Linked DNA regions of Callithrix jacchus. The protein of the gene in region 2 binds, or shares a complex with, the protein of the main gene of each other region. Links are inferred from orthologs where the notes say so. Each region holds a gene or a part of one and is shown on either strand. Other genes may lie near its edges.

Evidence for each region. Proteins that work in one complex are often made in the same cells at the same time.
Region 1: ARID1B (region 2) and SMARCB1 share a complex: the UniProt entries of both Homo sapiens proteins name them as parts of the neuron-specific chromatin remodeling complex. The link is inferred for Callithrix jacchus from reciprocal best matches to the Homo sapiens genes ARID1B and SMARCB1.

Annotation. Positions count from the first base shown.
Region 1 is NC_133502.1:192,656,935-192,660,346, forward strand, and holds the end of SMARCB1 (SWI/SNF-related matrix-associated actin-dependent regulator of chromatin subfamily B member 1), read right to left. Parts: intron 1,488-3,412; coding exon 1,356-1,487; intron 923-1,355; coding exon 883-922; 3' UTR 574-882; downstream 1-573.
Region 2 is NC_133505.1:164,029,174-164,032,823, reverse strand, and holds part of ARID1B (AT-rich interactive domain-containing protein 1B), read right to left. Parts: intron 2,635-3,650; coding exon 2,484-2,634; intron 57-2,483; coding exon 1-56. UniProt on the Homo sapiens protein: Involved in transcriptional activation and repression of select genes by chromatin remodeling (alteration of DNA-nucleosome topology).

The DNA of each region.
Region 1 (3,412 bases), on a different chromosome or scaffold from region 2:
AACTCCTTGGAGACAGAGCTGGGAAGGGGCCCCAGGCTGTGTCTCCTCCCTGCACCCTGACAACCCCCAAGAGCTGGCACCAGGCCACAGCGCCTGCTGGGGTGGGGAAAGGGCCCCAGTACTATGGGCACCACTGGAGCTAGAACAGCCACCTGTACCCAGGCTGGCAACAGCCCAGCAGTGCTCACACAGGACCAGGCCTTCTGCCAGGGACTCCAGAACAGCAAGGCCCCAACTGGCAGCAGCCTGATCATCTGGACACAGCAGAAGAGCTCACAGCTCCTTCCTGAAGATGAGCAAGGGGAGCAGGGCTGTTGCTGAAAGGCAGGAAGCCCCTGCCCTGAGCCCCACAGCCATTCTTCTCAGCTTTCTGGGTCTGGAAGGAGAACATGCTGAGAGGACTGAGGTGCTACCAGGAGCCCCATTCACCCCCAACACCCCAACCTGGGAATCTGAGGCAGAGGGGAGAGAGGCCTGCCAGCCTATTCACATGCCACCTTTGTCCCTCCGGGCCCCAGCCCCACTCCTGGCTCTCATTATTTTTATGCTAAAACTTTAAAGAAATTGAACATGACCTGTTGTTGCCTTTTATTTAAAAACTGTAACTAGCCCTGCCTGGGGCTCCTATACAAAAACAAAACACAACCCAAAATCAGGTTTCCTCCAGACCCCAGGGACTGGGGAGGGGTGGGGGCACAGGACTGGGGCTCAGCAAATGGAATGTGTGCCGGGGAAGGCCACCTGGAAGCCCCCACTCCACCCCCGCCCCAATCCTCAGGATGGTGCTGGGCTGTCCCCTCGCCTCTGTCCTTGCCAGAAGATGGAGGAGAGGTGGCCCGGTCTTCTGAGATGCTCCGTGGGAGCCGCATGCCGATGGGCTGGTTACCAGGCCGGGGCCGTGTTGGCGAGACGCCTCATCCGCCTGGAGAAGGAGTTGGGGAGGGCAGTGAGCAGGGCCGGCTTCCAACCTGGGCACTGCCCTTCCTAAGGCTCTCCAGGGTAGCCAGGTGTGGGGGTAGGAACAGAGGCAGGATGTAGGCCCCCAGCAGGGTTGGACCCAGCCTTCTCTCAGCCTCACCTGTCTGCTGCTCAGACCCTACCCATCACTCCAGGGATCCTGAAGCCTGGATCTGGGCTGTGGTCAGATCCAGCCTGAGGAATTATGTTTATTCCCTGCAGGGAAACATACCCTGGGGCCTGGATGGGGCCTCATCACCCAGGAGACTGCCTGCCTCTAGCAACACTAGAGGTACTCTCTTCCAGAGACCATGGGAGACTGGGAAAGGCAATGGCCCTGTCCCTGGCAGGAAAGCCAGGTGACTATGGGCAGAGCCGGACCACAGTGCCAGGGGTACCTTGTGTTCCTGTCCTGGTCGCGGATCTTCTTCTCCATCTCAGCATCTGTCAGAGTCTCCAGCAGTGGGCACCACTGGTCTGCATCGCCCGTGTTCCGGATGGCAATCTCCACCGTGGGTAGAGGGTTCTCACTACAGGGAGGGGAGGCAGTGAGAGGAATAACTTTTCCAGCTATAGATGAAGAGTCCTCAGAAAGCTCTGGCCAGGGGACTCTGGCCCCTGTCTGTGCCCTGCCTCTCCCAGCAGCACTGCTGGCACCCAGGGATGCTCCTGTCACCTGAACCTCAAGGGAGCTGCTGGAGGTGCCAGGCTGTCCCCAGAACAGTGCTGCCACCATGACCCCATGGGCTTCCCTTCAAAGTGAACTTTCAACAGGCCCTTTGTGCCTAGCGTCTGTCTGTCTCTGAGATGGGGGAGGGGCCACTGGCTGTGGAGGAGGTCTTCCTTGACAGGACAGCACAGGCTGGGCCACGCTGATGGGCCAGGCTGATGCCACTGGGCCTCGGTCAGGAGGGCTGTCTGCTCCACCCAGTGTCCAGAGCCAGGGCCCGCTGATCAGAGAAAAGGGATGGATGGCAAATGGGAGCAAAAGAGTCTCCCATAAGTCCCCAGTGCCCCACTACTGAGGCCACTGCACAGCCTGCTCCTGCTTGTTCCACACGCTTGCCCCTCAGCCCACCTCCTGACCCAACCAAACCTCTGAGAGGCTGGTGTGTGCCTAGGGTCAGACAGCTGGCTGGCAGGGAGCTGGACTGAAGCCATATCTCTGGACCACACTCTGCCCTGGGTCTCACAAAGACCACCCAACTCTGCCCCCAGGTACCCTCCCCTTGCCAAGAGGACACAGCGGAGGAGGGGGGCAGCACGGGCAGAGGCTACACAGGCATGGGGTGGGCGCAGGAGCACTGGAGGGTGGCTGGCTGTCACCTTTGGGCCTTGATTTGCAAGTCAGTGTGACGGGATGCTAAGGAGACTACAGCTGTGGATGCCACAGCGCCCATGTGCCTCCCACGTGCAGTGGCTCCTGTCACTCCCACCTCTGAGAGAACAGCTTTGGGTGCTGTTTCCCAGTTGAGTGACACCAAACCCCTGGCCTGGCAGAAAGCCTCAATGTGAGGTCCTAATCACGACTCTCCTGCTTCCCCTCCCCTCTCGTGGTCCTTTCCTTTCTCCTCCACTTGGCACTTGCTCAGTTCCCTGGGAGAAGGCCACCCTGCTCTCCCTCAGCCTGCGACCCTGCAAAACACCGTGAGCTCGGAGGAGCAAGGGCAGGCTGGGTTCAGGGGAGGTGCCAGGCAGACACTGACGGAGTAGAAGACAGGTCCCTGCAGACCTCACCTGGAATATGGAAACATTTACTGCTGTGAAAGGCTGTTGAAGGATGTTACTAAAGAAGCCAATACACACCCACTGAGGGAGCTTTCTAGGGCCAGGGACCTCTCACAGCTTCCCTGTAGCCAGTGCTTGAGGTTGTGGGACCCATCAGCTGCAGAGGTCAGCCTGCAGAGCTCTGGCTCCCCACACCCACACCAGTGCACACACACCCAACACCAGAAGCCTCAAGCCCTTTCCAGGTCAGGCTCAGTGCTGCTCTCCTCAGCCTGAGGTCTCAGGGACTGTAAGCATGCAGGGCACTGGCTGCGGCTGGCTCTCCCTGCAGCAGGCCTGACCCTCACAGCTGAAGCTCAGACCACCAGGTCCAGGCCCATGAAGCCCAGAAGCTCGAGCTCATGCTGGTGACGCAGAGACCAGGACCAGAGACAGTGCTGGCGCCCCACCCCTGTGGCCCTCTGGGGCTGACCCATCATCAGCAGCTCCTGACAGCTGTTCCTCAGCCAGCACTGGGTGGTTTAGCAAGCTAGGGACTGCCCCAGCCTCAAACCCCAAACCTCATTCCTCACTGTGGGGGCTCCCAGCAGCGTTCCTTGGAAGGCAGACATGAAAGGCAGCAAGCCCACACCAAGGGGAGCAAAACGTTTTCCTCTTAACTTAAACAAGAGCTGACGAGTGGGTCCCAGAGGCCCCTTTGTTTACCTCCCCGTGGCTCTGGGAAGAT
Region 2 (3,650 bases):
GCGGCTGTCCCGAGGGAGGGCCTTGGCCTGGATACTGCTGCCCATAAGGTTCATGCCTGGAACGAGGCATTCAAAGAAAACTTAACTGAGAAAGAGCTTCAGGCAAACGGAGAAAGGAACAATCCATTTCCAGGAACCCCGATTCCCCCAGCAGCTCTGCTTGACCTTCACTGTGCACCCCTCCGACGAAGGCCCTCTGAGACGCAGCCGCATGCCAACTGCTAGCACCAGGGATGGGAACACCCATTTTGGGAATGGTGCCAAACTTCTGGTTCGGGCTGTTGGCTAATAGGTGTCAGAGGAATACCGGTTGAACAGGCAGGCGCCCTGTAAGCACCTGTCAGAGCCTCTGGCCTCTGCGTGGAGGCCGCAGCCCCGCCTCTCCACTGATGTGTGCCTTAGGAAGTGTCGTACAATGCTGTGATGTGAGGCATCCATGGAAGCCAGAAACGACGAGAAGAACTTAAGACTCAAAGCAATGTTCCTAGAAGTACCAGAACACCGACATGTTTGTCCTTTGCACATTCTCATTATGAATGGAAAATGTTTAATTTTTAAAAGCTACACTTCAAACTTAATTCAAATGTTAGCTAACTAATCACTGTATAAATACAAGTGCTCAGAATTTCAAAGTCCTATGTCCCAAAGGGCTAGAAAAGAATAATAGGGATGATTTAAATGTACACCTATTACATCTTAAAATGGAAATGAACTCATACTTTTATCTTTCAACTACTAGCATATTAAGAAATTACAAATACCATCAAAAATAGCAAGTTTTAAAAGGCAATAGATTTGGAACTTTGAAAGATACACTGGTTTAGGTTAATATACTAAGTCTTGTAGGAAACAGAACAATGGACTGAATATATTCCCAACGTGATTGAAGAATGAGAATAATAAAAATAAATAAATTTTTAGACTATCACATGTGAAACAGACATGGGCACTTTCGATAAGTAACTTTTAACCTTGAGATCTAAGAAGGAAGCTTAGAGATAAGAGGAAAGAAATGTAATTGACATGGTAAAATTTAAGTTGCCTAACAAGCAACGTTTTTTCAGAAGAGAAAACTTAACAATGAAGTAGACCTATCTTTAATATGATAGCGCCAAGATAATTCTTCTTCTAATCTTGCCAGCTATCCACCAAAAAAACATCTGTAGCTTTTCCTGGACCCTCAAAAATGAAACAAACCTAACTGAAATCCTTGATCCAGCACACTAAACAATACCTTATGGTTAACTGATGAATGAATATATCACAAGTAAATACTGACCACATCATGGCCAGGTTAAGAATTAGAAGAGTAAATTCCTAGGTGCCTAGGAGAAAGCAACATGGGATGGACTCCCCAGAACCAGGCTCACAGACAATACCATAAAGAAACCTCATTTGGTAAAGCAGTGATTTTTGAACCTTTTCTCCTTTGTATTACAGCAAGGAAGCTTTCCCACCAACCGACCTGTCCCTGTGACCCCAGCATGTGGAATGATGAAAGGTGAGTGGGTCTGGCCCAGTGGTCCCCAGCAGAACAGCACACGCAGCTTCCAAAGGCAGCGACCCCAAAGTCAGCTCCACCCTGTGGCATGCCACTGTGGCTCTGGCGAGGGAAAGGCCCTTCTAGTATGCCTCTGTATTTTTTTCTTTAAAAATCTGAAATATTATATGAAAGCCTTGTTTATAATTGTGTCTCTTGTTAGGAGGTAGAGAACACACCACCGAAGGGGAGGGGTTTATGATGATAAGTACTGAAGTCAGGGCACAGGCACGGGACCTTCTTCACAAAAAGAGGCCTACCCTAGGCCGTTATCTTAGGAAGCAGTTTGCAGACGCCCTTTCAGAGCCATTTCAATTACTTTTCCTCCTAGCTAATTAAAAATCAGTCTGTATTATCAGTCTGGCTGCTGAACTTGCCACTTTCACATCAAGATGACTTCCTTACGAGGCTGCAGTGAGCCTTGTGCTGTGGGCTTTCTAGAGATGTTTATTAAGGTGCAAAGTACTGTCTCTCTATTTAAAATGTTCACAGGGAAGAGTGGCAACATCTGAAAATGCACTGCCTGGAAGACCTTTCCAGAATGCTGAAGGCCCAGTGTGGCTACTCCTGCTCAGACCTTTGCCCAAGACAGAAAAGAGGAGAGGGAGGCTGGTGCTGTGGTGGCCCAGGCACCCAGGAGCTCCAGGTGATCCACACCTGGAGTGTGCAGCTGCCAGGCCCTCAGAAGGAAGCTGGGTGCTGATGCTGGGTGCCAATGTGACTGGGGTGGCCCTGGCTCTTGACTTTAGGAAGATAACTCCTACGAAGGCAGCCACCTGACACTCACCTGGTGACCAACAGCCATTGCCTCTTTACTTTCACAGGAAAGGGGACACTGTATACTGTCATCAGTGGTTCAGCTGCCAGGACTCAGAAGCACGTGTTTGAGGAGAAAGCACAGTTTCTAGAAAATCATCTTGTCGCCATCTGAGAAAACCCTCACCTTCGGTCGTAACTGGCTCCATAGGGAAACTGCTGGCGCTGCCCCATGCCTAGACTGGACACTGCTCCGGAGGGGCTCTGGCTGTACACGTCCTGCATGCCGCTGTTGGGCATCTGTCCTTGCGTCAGAAAGGGCTCGCTGCTTCCAGGCACTGCAATATTTTAAAAATGCAGACATTTAGGTGTTTCTAAAGTCTCAGGCCCATCCATCCCTGCTAGTAATTTCTATTGTCTTTGTACTTTTCTTTTTTGAGAGGGAGTCTTGCTGTGTCACCCAGGCTGAGTGCAGTGGTGTGATCTTGGCTCACTGCAACCTCCGCCTCCCGGGTTTAAGTATTCTCCTGCCTCAACCTCGCAAGTAGCTGGGATTACAGGCACCCACCACCACGTCCAGCTAAGTTTTGTATTTTCAGCAGAGACAGGGTTTCACCATGTAGGCCAAGCTAGTCTTGAACTCCTGACCTCAGGTGATCCACCCTCCTCAGCCTCTCAAACTGCTGGGATTACAGGCATGAGCCATACTTTTTCTTAATATGGTAGACCATAATACTATTGAAAGAGCATAAGGTGTGAGCCAAGATGTGCTCTGTGGGGGCCAAAATCTAAGATGGCCCTGAAGATCCAGTGCTCCCCTGCCCGGTGGGCACCTTCATGAGCCCCTCCCCTTCAGTGTGGGTAGGACCTATGAATACAACACCATCACTCCCATGATCATATTATGTTCAAGGCAAAAGGACTTCACGGAAGTGACTATAGTTACTAAGCAGCCGACTGCAAGTTAACCAGAAGGGAGATTGTCCGGGGAGCCCTTTAACTTTGGGTCTAGAGCTTAGAGATGAAGCAAGTCAGAGATATTTTCCTGCTGGCCTTGAAGAAGCAGCTGCCATGCTGTGGAGAGAGTCACGTGCTAGGGAGGGTGGGCAGAGGACAGTCAAGAAAACGGGACTGCAGCCTCAACCACAAGGACCTGAATTCTGCCAAGACTTAAACTCTGAAGAGGACCCTGAGCCTTTGAGGAGCTCACCGTCCTGCCAGACACCTTGATTTCAGCCTGTGAGACCCTGAGCACAGGCCTAGTCACACTGTGCCAGTTTTGTGACCCACAGACTTTGTGGGATCATACATTTATACTGTTTTAAGCTGCTAAATTTGTGGTAACTTGTTATAT